Linked DNA regions of Pelodiscus sinensis. The protein of the gene in region 1 interacts with the protein of each later gene in a biochemical or structural test. Links are inferred from orthologs where the notes say so. Each region holds a gene or a part of one and is shown on either strand. Other genes may lie near its edges.

The links.
Region 2: the proteins of RRM1 (region 1) and RRM2 form a complex in vitro, tested with the Homo sapiens proteins (3 studies listed by BioGRID and IntAct). The link is inferred for Pelodiscus sinensis from reciprocal best matches to the Homo sapiens genes RRM1 and RRM2.

Annotation. Positions count from the first base shown.
Region 1 is NC_134711.1:326,125,210-326,135,287, reverse strand, and holds the start of RRM1 (ribonucleoside-diphosphate reductase large subunit), read right to left. Parts: upstream 4,690-10,078; 5' UTR 4,554-4,689; coding exon 4,535-4,553; intron 4,177-4,534; exon of another isoform or gene 4,157-4,176; intron 3,491-4,156; coding exon 3,402-3,490; intron 352-3,401; coding exon 174-351; intron 1-173. UniProt on the Homo sapiens protein: Provides the precursors necessary for DNA synthesis. Catalyzes the biosynthesis of deoxyribonucleotides from the corresponding ribonucleotides.
Region 2 is NC_134713.1:27,354,888-27,365,217, forward strand, and holds the start of RRM2 (ribonucleoside-diphosphate reductase subunit M2), read right to left. Parts: upstream 4,378-10,330; 5' UTR 4,230-4,377; coding exon 4,137-4,229; intron 4,049-4,136; coding exon 3,971-4,048; intron 2,486-3,970; coding exon 2,330-2,485; intron 1,585-2,329; coding exon 1,468-1,584; intron 712-1,467; coding exon 578-711; intron 1-577. UniProt on the Homo sapiens protein: Provides the precursors necessary for DNA synthesis. Catalyzes the biosynthesis of deoxyribonucleotides from the corresponding ribonucleotides. Inhibits Wnt signaling.

The DNA.
Region 1 (10,078 bases):
TGCCAAGCCTTTGTGGCGAAGTCGAAAGAACTGAATGCCTCAGATACATGGGCTCGATACTTAATTGCTCCTGTTTAGGAACAAGATTACCACAGTTCTGTTTCGTAAGGCTCCAAGCCCCATGCTGGCTCCCTCCTTAACAGCGGAGCACAAATGCCCATAGACACACTCACCACTGAACACTTTCTTGGTTTCTTTGTGCAAGTTGGAGACCGCAATCCTTGCGGCTAGGATGGCATAGTCGGGGTGTTTGGTAGTGAGGGTTGCAGCTGTCTCAGCAGCCAGTGTATCCAGCTCCACTGTGGTGACACCACTGTATAGACCCTGGATTACCTTCATGGTGATCTGAGCCTGGGGAAAGCCGAATTCAGCAGGTTAACTACCTATGTTACCGTGACAACACCATCCTCAACAGCAACAGCCTAGTCGAACCACATTTTCCCAACACCTGGCATCATATTTTCTCTTTGCAAGAAAAGTTATTACAATAAGTGTTTCACTTTAAACAAGTATCAAAGGGGTAGCCGTGTTAGTCTGAATCTGCAAGAACAGAAGTCCTGTGGCACCTTATAGACTAATAGATTTATTGGAGCATAAGGTGCCACAGGACTTCTCATTGTTCTCACTTTAACCAGCAGATGATAAAGTGATTTAGACTGAGCTGCCTTGATGGAGGGAAAGCACCAGGCTTTAATGTTACAACCTTAGTGATAGTTTGGAGAAAGGGAACAGGGAGTAGTACAGAAATGACTCATCAGGAATTATCCAATCAGGCACAAGTTTTTGTATGCAGTTAACTTGCTAAATGTTAATGTGCCCTGTTGAAGCGGTAGTGCAAAAGCTGAAATGCCACATCCAATCCAGAACTTGCTCAGGAATTTTCAAACTCCAAACAGCATTGACTTTTCACATGCCTGATCAAGCATCTAATTTGTTAAATTACAAATAGTTAATGCTAAGAGAGTTTGGAAAGGGATATTAAAACTAGGAATGTAAAATCCCATTTAATCAGTTAAATATAATGCTTAACCAGGATCCCACAGCCTAGTTGGTACCGCCTCGCCATGAGCTGCTTGGGCTGGGCCCGCTGCACAGTGCTATGGGTGGGGGCTGCTCCAGCTGGTAACAGTGATGCTTACTTGTTACATCTGAAATAAAAACCTCATGTTTCAGGGCTTAAACCAATCTCTCACATCTACCCATTAGGGTGTTTCCTGCACCTTCCTCTAAGCCAACTGGTACTGGTCACTGTCAGAAACTGGGTACTGAACCAAGAGGATCTTGGGTCTTATCTAATATGGCAATTTTGACATGCATTTGAAACATTCACATGCAACTGGGTATGTCAGACTGTCATTTTCAAACACTGGTCTTAAATTGCAAGCTCTATGGGACAGGGACAGTTTTTGTCCTGTTTGTACAGCACCTAGCACTAAGGCATCCTGGCCCATAAATGCAACTCAAGCATTGAAGCAATAGAAACAATAATGGTCTGTCATGTAAAACTAACTTTATTATTATTAGCAAGGCTTGCTAAGCGGCGGTGAGCCCCACTCGCCAGCTGCACGGAACCACACGCTGCGCATGCACAGACCGCGCCGGGCTAAAATCTACTCACCACGGGCGAGTAGATTGCCTTAATTGTCGAGCCCTGATTATTAGCCCAGTCACCAGGATGTTACACTAGGGATTCAGAGACCTAGATCAGATTCCTTGCTTTGCTACACCTCTCTGGGCATCACTTTCCCCAACTGTAAAACAGGGATAATGATTCTACTGCCTCTTTGTAAAGCTATTTGAGACCCAGGGCTGAGAAATATACTACATATTTCTATTGCACTGATAGCATTCTAAGCATCTATCACGATCATGAGGTTAGCCAGCAGCCTGGGGACTAAGGGATTAACTATACCTAACTCAGGTAGAGTTAGCCAATAGAAATGTAGGTAGGAATTTCAAACTGGGACAAAGGAATTTTTGGGTTTCCCTCCTTTGTCTCTGGGAGTTTTCTCCCCAGCTATTGAAGGGGACAGGATGTCTCCCTCTAAGAAAATACTCTTCACAGTCTGTAAGTAGGATAAAGTTTAGATAAATCCGTTAGATTTTATTGTTTTATGGTTTGGGAAATGAGATCAGGTCTGTGCATTTAAAAATGGGTTTTGCTCTCCTTTGTAACTAAGTTCCTGGCCCATGGTAAATTTCTCCTCCGTGAGTATATTATATTGTTACTATTCCATCTAATCATTATACTTGCAACAGAAATATTGTGGTGATAATATAAGTTCTCTCTCGTTTCTTTTTATTAACCTGGTATTAGTTAATTTTTGTGTCCTGGTTTGTACTTTAGGGGTGAGATATCCCAAGTAGTCTCTCCTTGGTTGCTTTATTAATATTTGGGTGGTGGCAGCAGAGAATTTATCCCCGACATCTAAGTTGTTAAGATTTGGGGGGGGGGGGGGGGGATTTTATACCAAAGCCTGGTAGATAAGATTTTGGAGTACTTTTGCTGGCCGCCAATTCTGCATTTATCGTGCCAGAGTGGGGAAGGAGCCATGACAGCATCATTCACAAATATGGCACTGTTAACCTGGGCTTGAATAACGATATTAACTGGTTAATGCACTATAGAGCCAATTTCCCCACCTTTGACATTCACATTTTCACATCAAATGCTATGAAGGGGACACATCCAGCCCATTTAATTAGCATCATTAACACAGATCCTACAATTGACAGGTAACTGCTTTTGCTGTTTTTATATATTTATATCTTTGATTCTGTTATTTCCACTCCAACTCATCTGATGAAGTGGGTTTTACTCACAAAAGCTCGTAACCCTATACATTTTTGTTAGTCTCTAAGGTGCCACAGGACCACTCATTGTTTTTTTAAAGAATCAAGTTACAGTAGTTGCAAACTGAACAATCAACCACATGTGTCACTTGGAGCCAGAAGTATGTAATCAGGCAGCAGCAGAGACAGCTCCCCTATGCCCCTCCTCCCCCTTCCCTCAAAAAAAGCAAATAAATACAGTACAGTTCTGTGTTAAATGTAAACTATTTTTTTTAAAAAAGGAAAATGGATTTTTTTTCTTCTGCTTATTAAAGTCTGAAAGCTGTATTCAATAATCAGTTGTAAACTTTCTAAAGAACAACCATAACATTTTGTCCAAAGTTACAAACATTCCTTAGGTGTTCACAACAAAGGTTCTACTGTACACAGAAAAGAAAAACACAATGGTTACCATTAAAAAAGCAGCAGTTGCCAAGAGTTCACAATAGGGGTATGGGGAATACAAACACCTCCCTTTAGAATGAAGGGGAAATAACTGAGAGGCACCTGATCACAAATGGTCACCACGGAGGACTGGGGGAAAGTGGAGAGGGTACAAAACAACTCACAGGATCAACGAAGTCGGCATTGAGTCCATAGCAGAGCTTCTGGATCCGAGAAGTGATCTTGTCAAACATGACGCGCTCATGGCGCCCATCTACCAGGTGTTGGGGGAGGAAAGGAGAGACAGAGAGTCAGGCCTTTATAGAGAGCAGCATGAATTACACAGACAGCCACATGTAGCAGGAGTCTTTGAAGGGGGTCTTTGGGGGGGAGTGTCTTTGAGAGGGGTCTTTGGGGGGACCCTTTGAGAGGGGCCTTTGGGGGGGACCCTTTGAGAGGGGCCTTTGGGGGGGCCACCTATGGCTGTCAAGGTATCTCTGTGCCCTCCCCAGCACTCCAGGGACTCTGCTCCGCCGCTCTGTGAGCAGCACCAGAAGAATCCAGCCAGAGGGGAATATTCATGCCGCCTGTGGGGATCCCCATTCCAGAAACCGGGGATCGGTGGGGATCGAAATGCTCCGGGCGGTGAGTCGGAGGCGACAGGGGTCCGGTCCTCCAGGGGAGCGTGGTGCCAGCTATGGAAGTAGCAGGAATACAAAGCAGGGACGTTACAGGTTAACCGGGAGCATATCCCTTACCAGCATCCTTACCGGTTAACCGGAGCCTGCAGCCGGCGGTTAACCCTAACCGGGTTAACAGGTTAACCGGGAGCGTATCCCTTACCAGCATCCTTACCGGTTAACCGGAGCCTGCAGCCGGTGGTTAACCCTAACCGGGTTAACAGGTTAACCGGGAGCATATCCCTTACCAGCATCCTTACCGGTTAACCGGAGCCTGCAGCCGGTGGTTAACCCTAACCGGGTTAACAGGTTAACGGGCCGGTTCCAGCCTGATCCGTTCATTGGTTAACCGATGAACCCGTGAAAGGGGATTTTGCAGCCCTGTGCCAAGGCAGGGCGGGGGGGGGGGGGCATGCACCCGGGGGCGCAGTGCCAGCTGGCCCCCCCAGGCGGAGGGGCGGGAATGGCACTGTGGGTAGGGGTCCCCCCAGGCGGGGTCCTCCCCCCGCAGAGAGGAGACGCGCGGGGAACTCGCTCAGCAGGGGCAGCCCCGAGGGGGGGGGGTCGGACCCGCTGAGCGCCCCCCCCAGTAGGGAGCCGGGGCTGCTGCCCCTGCCCCCGAGTGGGGGGGCTCTCACCTCGCTTGATGACGTGCATGGCGGCGGCTGGGGCCGGGCGCTCGCGCTCAACGCTCCGGGAGCTCCAGACGCGGCCTACGAGCTTCCCGCGCCCGCCAAGCGCCGGCCTGACCCCGCCGCGCCGCCGTACCGCCCCGCCCCCTCCCCACGCCGCGGCCGCCATCTTGAGTGCGGGCAGCGGCCCCGACCCGCCGCGGGCTCTTCTGCCCGGGCCCGGGACCCCATCGCCTCCCTGGTGCTTGCCCGGCAGCTCGCCCCTCCCTCCTCGCCCTGCTCCCCGGCTACGCGGCACAGGGGCAAAGGGAACCACGGGGGGCAAGGGCGGCTTGCCCGGGTCCAAGATGGCGGCCGAGATCCCGCCTCCCCCGCCCTTCCGATGACCGGCTGTGGGGGGAGCGGGCTGCTTCCCGCCTGGGGCGGGGCGGGGCTGCCATGTGGGGGGAGACTCCTTCGTGGGGGGGGAAGGGGAGACTCCTTCGTGGGGGGGACATGGGGGGAGGGGAAGGGGAGACTCCTTCGTGGGGGGGACATGAGGGGGAGGGGAAGGGGAGACTCCTTCGTGGGGGGGACATGGGGGAAGGGGAAGGGGAGACTCCTTCGTGGGGGGGACATGGGGGGGAGACTCCTTCGTGGGGGGGACATGGGGGGGAGGGGAAGGGGAGACTCCTTCGTGGGGGGGACATGAGGGGGAGGGGAAGGGGAGACTCCTTCGTGGGGGGGACATGAGGGGGAGGGGAAGGGGAGACTCCTTCGTGGGGGGGACATGAGGGGGAGACTCCTTCGTGGGAGGGACATAGGGGAAGGGGAGACTCCTTCGTGGGAGGGACATAGGGGAAGGGGAGACTCCTTCGTGGGGGGGACATGGGGGGAGGGGAAGGGGAGACTCCTTCGTGGGGGGACACATGGGGATGGGAAAGGGGAGACGCCTTCATGTTGGGGGAACACGCAGTGGAAGAGGGAGAATCCTACATGGGGGGGTCACATGGGGGACATCTCTCCCCTTGGGCCAGGCCCTCAGCTCTCAAGCCGTTTGAACAGCCCAAAGGTGGGGCTGGGTTAGTGCCCGCTCCCTTGGGCGAAGGACTCCTCATGCAGGAAAACTGAAGCGCCACGGTGGGTCCCCACTCGGCGGGGCTCCAGTACTGAGGTAAATCGCTGTGGAGCCGAGAAATTGGGGGCTACCTGGCTGCGCAGTGGTAGGGGAGGCCCTGCTTCGGCTAGTCATGCTGCTGTCAAAGTATTCCCCCTCCCTGCCCAGACTTGTCTATGGAAGGAAACTGACTTCACATGACAGCCTTAGTCATCCTTCCACTCTGATTGAGGTCATCTGGAATAATCCTCCCCGCCCATGTGGACATTCTGTTCTTGAACACAAGTGGTTTAATTCCAGAGTAATTACTCCCAAATAATTGTTTCCAAAGTGCATAATTATTCTGGAATAAAGTCGCTCTTGTCTGGGACTAAAGTGTCCACCTGGGGGAACCGGCGACAGAGCAAAAATAGCTCAGTTTTTTATTTTGTCCTATTTTGAATCTGTAAATGTATCCAGCATAAAGCAATTTCCCACTTCCCCAGTAGATGGCATCATTAGACTATTTTTTCTACCATCCACTTTCCCAGAAAGATACTACCTGTATTATTATTCATCATTTGTATTAGGCTAGTACCTGTTGAAGTGATCTGCCTCTGTCTGCCACTGATCAAGTATGAGCAACCCTGGATATTAGGTGTTGTGCATGCATATAACAAACAAATTATCCTTTATTATATAAGGCCATGTCTATAGTATAAGGACTATAAAAGCAGAGGTACAGGCTGCAGCTATGTTGACATAACCTCATGGTGTAGATCAGTGATGGGGGACCTAGGCTAGTGAGTGGGCTGCATGAAGTGGCCCTCCATCTCAGTGGGCTGCAAGATTGTTGTAGCCAACATAGGGTAGTTTTGCTAATTGAACTTTCATTCCTAGAATTTGTAGGATGTACCAATTGAACTGTAGTGGCACTGTGATAGGCAGAGGGAGCACACGGCTCTCACGGTCAATATTGTGTGAAATCAGAATGCACCTCACTTCATGTGCCCTTGCTTTACATGCGTGTCACTTGAGTTGAATCTCTAAAATCCGGGACTCTGAACCAGTAACATCCATCGTCCGGCAGGACTATGGATATTGCTGGACCAGAGAGCCCTTGCTGGCCAGGTTCAGCAGCGCAGCCTGGGCCGCATGGGCGATCAGTAATGTAGGCAATGGAAGGCAGAGCCTTCCCAAAATAAGGCTGGGGCCACCGTCAGGAGACGCAGCCCGGCTTTCCCTGCCCACCAAGGAGAGCCGGGCCGGAGCTGCAGCATGGCAGCTGTGGCTCTCCACATGGCCCAGAAGGATCAAGCTGGGAGTGGTCTGAAGGGGGCAGGGCTGAGGCTTGCCTTCCCCAGCTGGCTTTTCATGCGATGCCTATGCTGGGCTAGGCTGGCAGGGGGGAGTGCAGCCTCAGCGGGGCCGGCGCAGTGGGGAGCCCAGCCCAAGTCAGAGTGGCATGGTGGGGGTGTGCAACCTCAGTAGGGGCTGGAGGCAGCAGGACCAAGCAGGGAGTGCAGCTCCTGCCGGTAGCAGAGCCTACAGCTAGGTAGGGAGCCCTGAGCTCCCCTGGTCTGGCAAACCCTGTACAGTAGTTTGGACCACTCAGGTCCTGAGGGTGCTGGACTAGGGAGGTCCCCCTGTACTGGTAGAAAAAAAACTACATGGGCGAAAACCAGCAGTCACAGTAAACAAACTCCAGTCATCTGAAGAAATGGGCTGTGCCCACGAAAGCTCATGATCCCATCTACATGTTTTGTTAGTCTATAAAGTGCCACCAGACCATTTGTTGTATTTTAAGTTTAGTAAACAAAATGTCTTGCCACACATACAACCTGGTTTGCCCACCTGTAGTGTAGACACAGCCGACAGTGATATAAGGGTTTTCTTTCCATTGCTAGCACCTGAGCGAGGGCAGCACCTAGCTGTGTCTATACCTGGCAATAGGCCTGAATACCTACATAGCTGCATTATGCAGGTGTGCAGATTTTTCAGCTCCCTGAGCAATGTAGATATGTCAGTGTACATCTGAAGTGTAGAATAGATCTAATAATAAGATGGACAGTTTAAAATAAACCAACAGCTGGAGGGGGCTCATGCAATTAATGAGGCTGTTATGATTATGTATAAGGACTACATACTTAGCAGCAGTCACAGAGCTTCAGCAGCCCATTACTAAGCAGTTAGTAGACACTCCAGTGTTGGTTGGTTTTAATAAGAGATTTAGAAGAGGACAATGTGGTTGCTTTACAGTTTTTCACAGTGTGCTCCTTTCATGCAGAAGCAGCAGCATGGGAGAAAGATTTTTGCAGCTGCATTTTGATTTGCTATGGTGGCTTTGTTTTGGCTGGAGACAAGGGCCAGTGTTTGAGGTGGAAGCTGCTGAACTGTTTTGGTTATCTGTTTACAATGGCTTCTTTATGCAGGTTTAACCTCTCAAATCCGGCACTCTGGTCCGCCAACACCTATAGTCTGGCATGAGCATGGATATTGCTGGACCAAAGAGCCCTGCAGACTGGGAGCGGGAGCCAGCTGGGAGTCCCGTGGTGGCTGGGGAGCCCCAGCTGGGCCAGTGACAGCTAGCTTGGTGATGGCCTGGGAGCCTGGCAGCAGCAGGGCTGACTGAGAACCCCTGGTGACAGTGGCTCTGGCAGCAGGGTGGGGAGCCCTGGCACAGCCAGTGGCAGGATGGGGAGCCCCAACCTGGGGAGCCCCACAGCCGGAGGGAGCCTGAGAGTAGGGCCAGCAGGAGAACTTTGACCTCCCCTGGTCTGACAAACTCCTGGTTCGGGAGTGCTGAAGTCCCAAGGGTGCTGGACCAGGGAGGTCCCACCGGTATTTATTCTGAATGTAAGGTCACAGAGTTACACCCCACTCACAATAGCAGGGATTGGCCCAATACATAATATTTGCCTTATGCCGCACCGTACCTCCAGAAGACAACATGCTTTTTACTAATTCTGTACAGAAATCACTTCTTCTGCCTTTGAAAGGCAGCCACCTCTGGGGGGGGGAAGCAGCAGCTGCTTCGGAGGCTGAGAATGCCCTAATGCAGGGAAAATTAGGCAAGCAGAATGTAATCTAAGTTATAATTTGGCAGGGATAGTGGGACTATCACCACGGTTCTAACAAACATTGCCCAGGAGCGTTAATGTTGGAACCTCAGTCATTTCTTCCAAAAAAATTTGTTTTCCTTCGCTGTGCATTGGGGCATCAGTTCAACAGTGACTCTGAGCACAAATGGCTCACTACTGATTACCTAGCACTGGGATACTCTTCTCAGGTCTCCCATTTAACGGGAACCCTGCTGAGTTTGTGAGAGTCACTAAGAAAGGCTGCACAAGGTTGCAAGTCTGGAGTGCCCTAGCATCAAGCATGCAAAGAGGGAATTTCTTGGAATTAATTCAAAACCAGAGCAGATCAGGTCCCATAGTCTGCAGTGCTATAAAATAGTATGTGTCAGAAAGGTTTGCGGAGGGGAGAACAGGCTGGTTCAGCTGGAGCCCGTGCTATGTTCACTGATCTTCCTCCCTGTTGTTTTATTGGGCCTTCTTTGAGTGTCTTACAGCCATGGGCAAGACTGATTTATTTTACTAGAATTTGACAAGCACCCGGTGGGTTAAACTGTGACAGAGGAAACCAGACTTCTCCTAATGGGGTGTGACTGCGGGTAGATCAGAAAGATAAACGTTTGAAAAGCTGCACTCTCTGAGATGATTTTGGAAGGAAATTAAGCAACAAAGAGCCGGCTTACTGGAAATGTCGTGTTACCCCTTCCTTGGTAGGACAGCTACAGGCAAGAGAGAGCCTCTGTATGAGCAGACACCATAGTTATTCACTTACTGATTTCCAGAGTGAAATGTGTTCAGTCCAGCGGTGAAAGTAACTTAAAATTTCTTACAGATCCTGTCCTATTGCAACCCGGATCCCTGCCAGCTCTTTCAATAGCTCCCTGTTGGCTTTTGCCACAGCTCAGCCAGCTCTTGCCAAAGCTGCGCACCCCCTTGCTTTCACCTCTGGTTCAGTCTCAACAGGCTCTTTCTACTTGCCAACCCTTCAGATACAGTCTGGCCATGTGAACAATTGAAATCAGGCTCTTTCTGTAGCGCTCCATTCTCACTTGAACTCAAGGGATTTGGATAATGACCACGGGGGAGGTGGTCTAGAATGGAGATCAATAGTAAGAATGTATTTCTTCCAACAAACAGAACATATGCAACATGACCAGAAGATATACAGAGCCTTCATGCCCTCACTTCTGACAGATCTCACTGGAAATTCTATTTTACTATACCGTTTTATAAACATTCAAGCCTTGGCCAGTAAGAAGAAGGAAGGAAGTGTAGGTTCCTGATTCTCTACAGCTTATTTATTTAGTCCCTGATCCAGGAAAGCACATATTTATATCCAGTTCTGTTAGCAAAACACTTAAGAACCTGCAATGGGACTGTTTAGAATGATCAAGTTTT
Region 2 (10,330 bases), on another chromosome or scaffold:
AGGTATAGTTTTTGTTTTTCAAGCTGAGTTTTAGCACTAATAACCCAAAGTTTTAAAGCAGACAGCTTTGTATATGTGTAGCTGTCAGAAATGAGCAGTTTATTACAAGACAGGTTGAAAAATAGTTGTAACCTGCTCACAATGGCACAGAATCATTAGATGGGTAGATGTACATTAGAATGTTATAAAAAGTCAAAAAGATACAAGCTGTAATAATTCCCATAGAAACTGTTCTAGGCCACCTAATCCATGAACTAGCCAATACCATGGGCCTATTGTATTATGAGTAGACCAATTTTAAGTATCTATATAGATTGACTTTGGCTCCCTTGACAAATTTGGTTTCATACCCTCATGTATCAGTTACTAAATTAAACCGGTTATGCTTTTAATCTCTTCCTAGGATGGTTTGTTGAGCCTTCCTGCTTTTTATTATACTTGAGTTGTTCTTCACATCATGTTTGCCAAGCTAGTTAAATTCTCAAATCATTTCTGTATTGTTTCAAGATTTAGAAAAGGCAATACTATTAGAACCCACCATATTACATCAACTTGGACATTTCACTGTGATACTAACCTCTCTTTTGGATCTTTAATGTAAGTGTCTATGAGCAGACTGTACATTTCTGAATGTATATTTTCCATAGCAATCTGGAAGCCATAGAAAAAGCGAGCTTCAGTTATCTGTACTTCTTGGCTGAATCGTTCCACCTAGAGGAGAAACCAAGTAATTGTTGCAGAAAGGATTACCCACTTAAATTGTAATTTAATGCTATTAAACCCACAAGTATCTCCAGTTTTGCTTTACACCCCTATGGTGTGACAAACGTTTTAATGTTCAGAAGTTAAGCCCAGGACAGTGCACTAGAATAGCATCCTCCTGAGAGTCAGGAATCTCAGGTTCTGCCTTGATCTCATCTTAACTCCTTGAGTATTTGGCCTTAAAGAAACACTGCATTTTTCTCATTTCTGCTTAATCTAAGGCAGGACAATGCCAAATTTGACAGAGCTGTAGTAATATTCTGCACTTTTGCAGCTCATGAACAAGAATTTGAAAGCAAAGTACAAATGTGATTTCAGTCTCAATTGCTTTATGAGACACACAAATACCTGCACCCATGTATAGATGAATCAAACAAGATTGTGGAAGTGATCCCCTTCCCCCGCTAAAAAATATTCACACCACAACCTGGAATACAGCCAGGTCAACAGACTCCCAAATCTGTTGGTCTTACTACAAAATCATCCTCTTCTCCCCATAGGGGAAGCTTAGATTACAAAAAAGTCCATAAGAGTCCTTTACTAAGCACAACTTTTCCTAACCCTCCCCACCTCCTGAAAAATGACTACTGATTTAATAGGTTTTAAAGCAGAAGACGCTCAAGAGATAAACATCTCATTGTTTTATTTGGGCAGCTTTGTTAACAGAACGATTTCTACTTCAGGATTTCTCTTCTGTATGCTTACCAAATTCTCATTTACAATGCCATCACTTGCTGCAAAGAAGGCTAGGATATGTGAAATGAAGTACTTTTCCTCAGGCTTCAAGGATTCCCAGTGCTGAATATCTTTGGAAAGATCAACCTGAAGAACAAAAGCAGGCACTTACAATTTTATCATGCTACTAAAGAATGCATTTATATAAAGCAATGTTATACTGTGTATTAAACATAAAATATTACTGCAGTAAATCAAATTATGAAGTTTAATGGGTTCCTAGAACCATGGAAAGTTGTTCTTGGTTTATGTCACTTTTTCCAAAGCTATTTTAATCCGGGCTGGGCAAGATGCAGCCTGAGGCCACATATCAAAATTCATTAAGTGCTCTCCTGTAAAAATTATTGCACACCCCTGCATTAAATATAACAATTTTAAGGCTCTAGTACACTTAATATACAGTCACTGTTGGTTCTTAACAAGCTTAGGCTAGATCAGCACTAGAAAATTAAGCTGGCCTATGTTGGTAAGGAATGACTTTTTTGCACCTTTGGCCAATAGCTAAACCTCCAGATCAAAGAATTCTTCCATGGATCTAGCTCATGGATTACCTATGCTGACAAAAGAAACCCTCACATTAGCACAGGTAGCGAGGCACTTCGACACATCATCTGTAACTCTTTGGGACATGGACCATCTTTGTTGCATTAGTACAGCACCTACTACAAAAGTTCCTGATCATGACTGAGTCCCACAGGTTTTATTGCAATGTAAATATGTTAATACTACTAGGAACACACACTTTGTTATGAGCTGGCCTGAGCGGTGAATATCCAGTGGGCATGTCCACTGAAACAACCAGAGCAGGGATACCATCATGGGAGCCTCTCACCTCTTCAGCTGTCCAGAAGGAGGCCTCTGCTTTCTTATACATTTGCCAGATATCATGGTACCGGATGGGGAAGATGACAAACCGGTGGGGATTCTCCCGTAGGAGTGGCTCATCTTCCAGATTGCTAGGAGCTTGAGTAACTGCTTTGGGTTTCAACTAAAGGAGACACAATAAGAAAAATTGATTTCCATGTCCCCAGTGTTGGTAGACACTGTGGATGTTGGGAAGAGGAAAGCGTAACCATGAATGTGATGCACTAGTTTGCATCCCATTGTGATCAGGGACAACTAGGAGCGGGGAAAGAACGTAGGGGCCAGTAGCCACATGACCCTCCCCCCTCAGGCCAAGGAAGGGTTGGGACAACCCCTTCGGCCCCAGGCCACACCCTTCCTCTTTTGGGCACTTGCTCCACCCTGCCTCTTCACCCTCCTCCCCAACTGGATGTATCTGGGGGCACTTGCAGGGCCAAGGGGCCAACCCCCCTCCCACACATACTCACAGGCAGCAGTGGGGGCAGCTGAACGTGGCCCCAGCTCACTCTGCTTCTCTGGCCATTGCTGCCAAGTGCCAGTCCCTCCTTCACATCTCTCTCCACCCCAGATGCCCAGAGAGTCTAGCCTGCTGGCTGCAGCCAGGCCCCTTGCCCCTCCCACCCGTGGAGTTTAGGTGCATGTGATGAGACTATTTTGTAGATGAAGTCAGGGGGCACGATTAGGTCTGGGTTGGGGCTTGTCTATGGCATGTGGTAACCTGTTCAACAGAGGTGTAGCTTCTAAAGGGCACTAAACTATTGTGCAGTACTTGGCCCATGCAGACCTACTAGTGTACACAAAAGGCCTTTGTTCCCCGACCCCAGGGGAAAGGGGCCCCCTGGCGGAAGGAGGGGGGTGCTCCCTACCCCAGGGAAGGGGGAGAGAAGAGGCCCCCCCGCGGAAGGAGGGGGGTGCTCCCCACCCCAGGGAAGGGGGGGAGAAGAGAGGGCCCCCTACGGAAGGAGGGGGGTGCGAAGAGAGGCCCCCCCACAGAAGGAGAGGGGTGCTCCCCACCCCAGGAAAGGGGGGGAGAAGCGGGAGTGCTCCCCACCCCAGGGAAGGGGGGGAGAAGCGAGGGGTGCTCCCCACCCCAGGGAAGGGGGGGAGAAGCGAGGGGTGCTCCCCACCCCAGGGAAGGGGGGGAGAAGAGAGGCCCCCCCCGCGGAAGGAGAGGGGTGCTCCCCACCCCAGGGAAGGGGGGGAGAAGCGAGGGGTGCTCCCCACCCCAGGGAAGGGGGGGAGAAGAGAGGCCCCCCCCGCGGAAGGAGAGGGGTGCTCCCCACCCCAGGGAAGGGGGGGGAGAAGAGAGGCCCCCCCCGCAGAAGGAGAGGGGTGCTCCCCACCCCAGGGAAGGGGGGGAGAAGAGAGGGGCCCCCCCGCGGAGGGAGGGGTGCTCCCCACCCCAGGAGAGGAAGAAGGCGGGGGGGGGGGGCTCCCGCGCGTTGGCGGGCCGCAGAATTTGGCGCCAAGGCAGAAAGCGGCGGGACCAGCCTCCCGCTGCCGCCTAGCTCAACCCGCGCGCGCTCACAGCCGCTTCCTCCCCAAGCCCAGCCCGGCCGATCGCCCGAATCCCCCCGGCTCCCCTCCCCTCCCCCCGGCCCCGACTCACCGGCTTCGCGTCCGCCTCTTGGAAGATCTTCCGCGCCGTCTTGGTGGCCAGGACCCGCGTGGCGCTGAGCGCGGGGGGCTGCGGAGACAGAGAGCGGCTGGTGAGAGGCGCCGCGCCCGTGGCTGGGGGGGGTGGGGGCGGCGAGGGGGGGGGGGCGGCCACTCACCGTGTTCTCCTTGTCGGTCAGGACCAGGTTCTTCATGGGCGACAGGCGGGGCTGCTCGTTGCGGACGGAGAACGGGGCCCGGGCGGGGATCATGGCGAGCAGAGAGAGGCAGCGGCTGGGACGCGATGAAAGCTCCGGTTCAGTCGTGCTGGGGGAACAAGGGGTGGTGGGTGCCCCGGGGACGCTTTATATTCCCTTCGAACTTGGCGCCAGAACGCCAGGCCGCCCAATCGCAACAGCGGGCACTCCGCCCGCCCCGAAACCTGCCGTCGCTGCTGCGTTCCCATTGGCTCGAGGCCCGGCCGCGGCGCGCTACCCATTGTCACAAACGAGGGAGCCGCCGAAAATTCCGACCGCTCTGCGCTTCTATTGGTCAGAAGCCTTAGGCCGGCCACGCCCCTCTTTTTAGACAAGCGGGAATCCACTTCAAAAATCACTTGCACGTCTCCTGGAGGCTTCCATTGGCCCAAAGCCCCAGCTGGACACGCCCCTGGATTGTCCTGACGTTCCACCCCCTGCGTCTGCCCCCTCCCTTTCGCACCTTTTGTTGCATTGTCTCTCCCGCAGCGAGAAGAGGGTCAGTCTTGCCTCATTCTCCCCCTCTTTTAAAGCGGGATAAGAGTCTATCGCACGGGGGTGTTTGCAGACTCGGAAAAAGTACATATGGGAAGGGGCAGGATGGGTGGCTCTGTCGCTCCAGAGCTGCTGATTCCCACAGACCAATGGTTTTTAACCTTTTTAAATGTACGGATCCATAAAAAAATAGGAATGGCAGTGCAGACCCTTAGAAATCTTAGATGTAGTCTGTGGGTGCCCAAGGGTTCCCAAACCACAGATTGAAAACCTCTGTCTTGTTTAGGGTGACCAGATTTTCTAGGTGTAAGCGGGGGAATGATTCCGCTATTGTGGGGAACTTTCCTGGCGTTTATACCACCCCGGTGAAATGGACCAGCGAAAGGATCTGAGTCCCCACTCCCACTTCCTTTACCCCATGGCTCCCCTGTTCCTGAGGGCTCCCCCTCCACCCTCCTGAGTAGCAGAGCCCTTGAAACCCCAACAAGGCTGGGCCCAGGTTTCCTGGGGCTTAATCCCCGACCTTGTAGTCACTAGGGGCAGGAGTTAGGGTGTCCCCAGTCCGAGGTGCTCTCTTTACACTGCAGGCCGCCTTGGCCCAGTGATCACTTCATAAGGTTCAAAGCAAATACAATTTATTAAACATCAACTGATTAAAGAGAAAAGAATAAGAAAAAATGAGAAAGGTTAAATGAGAACACACAGCCCTGCTCTGTAGCACAGGGACATCAAAACAGCAGTCTGCAGAGTGTAAGGACAGTCCACAGTCTCTTCCTTAGAGGCCCCTTAGAGGCCTTGGATGTGCTGCGGGGGGGAGGGGCTGCAGGCTGGACACGCTTGCTCTGGCAGTGACCACACAGCCTCAAGCTCTAAGTGGCCAGACCCCTCTCCCAGTCCAGAGCCTCTCCCCACACTTTGCAGTTCCCCTCTGCTCACCACATCCAGCTGCAGGCTGAGCTTCTTGGCCAGTCTCTAGCTTCTTGTGTTGCTTCTCTGTTCCTTTTGGCTCTCTGAGCACTGCCAGTCTGCTGCTCAACACAGGGTCTGCGCTCCTTGAGCCGTGTGTGTCTGGCTCAGCTGCTGCAAAAACTGCCCCTCAGCACACAGCTTGCACTGCTTGGGCTGTCTCTCAGCTCTCTGTTTGCTCAGAGAGAGTCAGAACAATCCCAGCTCACAGGGAGGACGGGGCCTGGCCTCTCCCCTTCCTCACTGGCCTGTCCAACCTGTCAATCAGGCTGAGCTGGAGTGTTGGCTGCTTTCCATTGTCAGACTCATGTCCCTTCTGAAACTGGGAGCTGGCAAACCAAAAAACTCCCACAGAGTTTTAGTAAGGGGTAACAGTCCCCTTACATAGGGACAGTCTTGCTGTTCTGGGCTTTTTTATAATTAGGGGTAGTATATCCCCCACCCCGTCCTAGTTTTTCCACTATTTCTATTTGGTCACTTAAGTCATGTTGCAGACCACTTTAGGGAATGCCCTCCCGCTCCCACCAAGCACCAATAAACTCAAGAACCAGGGAAGTACTCCTTTGGTGGATGGTCCCAGTAGTTTAGGAACCAGAGAAGATTTAACCCTTCTTCTGTGCTCCCTTTGTCTCAGATGCCCCAGCAGGATATTTTGTCTTTACTCCTCCTGGCTACGTCTAGACTGGCATGATTTTCCGGAAATGCTTTTAACGGAAAAGTTTTCCGTTAAAAGCATTTTCGGAACAGAGCGTCTTGATTGGCACGGACGCTTTTCCACAAAATCACTTTTTGCAGAAAAGCATCCGTACCAATCTAGACGCGCTTTTCCGCAAAAAAAGCCCCGATCGCCATTGTCGCAATCGAGGCTTTTTTGCGGAAAACAAATCTGGGCTGTCTACACTGGATTTTTGCCCCAACAGGAGCAGCATAGTATTTCCGCAAGAACACTGACAATCTTACATGAGATCGTCAGTGCTTTTGCGGAAATTCAAGCGGCCAGTGTAGACAGCTGGCAAGTTTGTCCGGAAAAGTGGCTGATTTTCCAGAAAAACTGGCCAGTCTAGACACAGCCCCTGAATTAGTGATATTTTATGTCCTGAAACATGATGTCTGTAAAAATAATGGTGGGTTGTTCACTATATATTTGAGAGAGTTTGTCGATCTGTGTCCGCCTGAATCTGTCTGTGTGTCTGTTGGTTCAAGAACTCCTAAACCGTAAGAGCTAGGGCTGCCAAATTCAATGTGCAGCTTTCTCTTACCATAACTTAAACCAAGGTAAAGGTTCGGTTGTGCCTGGAAAACAGGTTGTGGGATTGCTTCCTACAAAACCATACAGAAAAGACAGCATCACTAGACACATGAAAGGCGCTGGTAGGCGGTGCACACACCCCCATTCAGGACTGCCCCAGTCCTGAGTCTCTCACCCCTCAGGTGCCATTTAAGGAGGGTAGAGGGGCTGCAGGCCTCCCCCCCCCCCCCCATTCATACAGGTTCATATAAAATCATACAGAAAAGAGATAATCACCAGGCATGTGAAAGGGGCTGGCTGGGGGTGTCTCCCCACCTCCCCAAACTGCCCCAAGTCCCAAGCCTTTCACCTCCCAGTCATCCTTTAGAGAGGGAGGATGGGAAGGGCTGAAGTTTTCCTCCACCCCCTGGATTCATACAGGAATATTGCTGGCTGTTACCCCAGGGGAAAGTGCACAGTTTGCTGAACTTCTCACTCTGGCTGGGGAGCGCAGGACACAGATGAACCTGGACCTGTTCAGTAGAGCGACATGTACCCTTCTCCCAACTGTGCCCACTGAAGTTGCAGTGGCCATAGAGAGGTGTTTCTCACCTGTCCCCAAGTTGCTGCACAAAGAGAGGGCTAAGGTAGTCCTCTCTCCCTGGGGCAGCCTGCATACTGAAACCTTCATCCCCAGCTCCAATATTTTATTTTCCAAAACACAATAATTAATTGAGTTAACGACTTGAGCAATGCCGGGTAAGTCTTGTAGTATAACTATATTTCTTAAATCTTTTCAATGCCTCAGATATATCTTGTGGCAATGAGTTTCATCAGTCAGCAATTTGTACATGCTATATGTCTTACCTTCCCATTAAATGCTCTCCCATTCAGATATAATTCAAAAAGTGAAGTAGGACAATCCTGTTGATCTTTTCTGTGTTGTTCATTGTTTTGTATACCTCTATGACATTCTCTCTTATCTATACTTTCTCTTCTGGCATAGACAAGGTCAAAAGCCTAGATTCTGCAAAGACTTAAACATGCAAAATTCATGCACAGGAATAGTTTTAACATATGTTATATATGTGCTTAAATTTTTGAAGGATTAGAGGCACATGAAGAAAAGCTGTACTGTCACTTTCATCTCAGATTTTGCTGTCATGTGACCAAACTTTGGCTTTAGGGTGGACCATGGGAGAGTATACCCTTCCCCGCATACACACACACACATTCTCGCTCATTCACTCACTTGCTCTCGCTATGTCTACACTATGGAGTTTTTTCCGGAATACTGGAGGTATCCCAGAAAAACTCCGCCATGTCCATGGAATGCAACATTTTTTGCGGAAAAGCAGACATACTCTTTCGGAAGCCCTGCAAACCTCGTTTCACAAGAAAGAAAGGCTCTTCCGAAAGAGGAGGTTTTTCTGAAATTTGGCCCAGTGTAAACAGGCCAAATTTCAGAAAGGCCTCTTCCGAAAAAACAATCGGAAAAAGGAGTGTAGTGTAGACAGCCTCTGATTGCTGCTTTTGACTTTCTAGGAAAATATGTGATGTATGCCACTTGATTTCGGATGTTTCTTCTTTTTTCAAATGGTCAGGCACCAGAAAAGTAGAAAAAACAATAGAAAGAAATAAAGGGGGTGAAGGGGGTGATTGAGGAAGGCTTTTTTTTTTAAGGCAGAGGAGGTGGGAGACTCTTTTAAAGTTAAGAGGGATAGTATAAGAAAGAAAAAAGGAAAGTCGCAAGTAATAGGAGAAAACAAAAGAAACAGTCAGTAGAGGTGTAGGTAGAAGACTTTGTTGGCACTTGTAAGTTTAAAGCACAGCCAAAGTAGTGCTACCACAGCAGTCCTTTAACCCAGCAATGTGGTCACCACACTGGCGCCAAGAGAGTGCGAGTTCTCCCAGCACTGAAAGCAAACCATCTCTATGATGTGTAGCTAACAGCACTGGGAGCACGATTCCCAGAGCTGGGAGGGAACCGGTTGACACTGATGCTTTACCACACTGTAACTTGCTGTACTCCGGGGTGTTTTTTCACATCCCTGAGCAAGAAAGTTACAACACAGTGAAGTGGCAATTTAGACAGGCCCTTATACATTGCAGGAGGGGAGATAGGAAGACCCAGCTGTGGAGCCTTGCAGGAAGGTTGAAGAAAAAGAATTGGAAACCGATATAATAGATAATTAAGATGAATGATAATGTATTATTATTATTATTATTATTATTATTATTATTATTATTATATGAGCTGATAACCCCCTGAATGTTATACAGTATTTAGTGCAATGTCAACTCATGCAATAATAATACGGGTCACATAACAAGGGTGGAGATTATTACATATACTTTGTGGGACAAGTTTGCACAGGATGAGCTCTCAAAGTCGTGACTCTCACTTGCTTTCTTATAGGAATAAACTACATAAAACACACCTGCTGCGGCTGCTATATTGCTTGGCATTGGGAAGTGCATTTTTTCAGACATGTTTTTCTCCCCTTCGGGGAAATAAAAGCAAGTTTTTCACTCAGTTACACAACTGTGTAAAACAGCATAGGCCAAAACTTCTAAAACGAGAGCTGCTGCTGACCCTCCTCTTCTTTCTGTAACACAATAAATGATCCCACTCTGGTGTCATTTAAAAATGAGTAGATGTTCATGCAGCGTTAAATGCAGGTTGCTCTTATTATTTAAAAGGTGGCACCACTTTCTTCTCCCTACCCCGGAACTAGAATGTGCTTAGCACACCATGACTTGCAGATAATTAACAATAAATAAACGTAGACAGGATGTGGCTTGTCAAGGTTTCCAAATATAATGGAAGGGATGTGTCACACCTGCAAAAGTTTTGAGTTCATGTAAATACTGCTGGACTCCAAGAAGAGTTAGAGTAGAGCTGTATATTTCAGATCTTATAAAAAGTTACATCTTGCTCTATGACAAGTCATTTAGGTGTGGTTTTGTCACTAAGATAAAGAATATCATGAAGCTGTATTACTGTAAGCAAAACAGTACAGGTACATGCTGTATTATGGTGAATATTGTTTTGCTGTAAGTCATACAAATCTGGATCATTCAAACATCACATTTATCCCTTGTGTAACTCTACCAGTGTCAGTGGAGTTATAGTAGTGACAAATTGGGCAAAGCTCTAATGCACAGGGTCAACTTTACCGAGACCTGAGTAGGGACTTAAGTGCTTGCCTGAATGAGGGCAGGGGGCACAGGTCTAAGGGCCCAGTCCTGTGGTGTGCTGTGTGACTGCTGTGAGGAGTTCTGGATCCTAAATACCCAACGAAGTTGATGGAAGCTTGGAGCACTCATTACGCCGCAGGATTGGTCTCATGACAACAGGCCTTGCAACACAATTTCTCTGCTAATGTAGGGATGTGGCACTACTTTAAAAAGAGGGCCTGGGGCA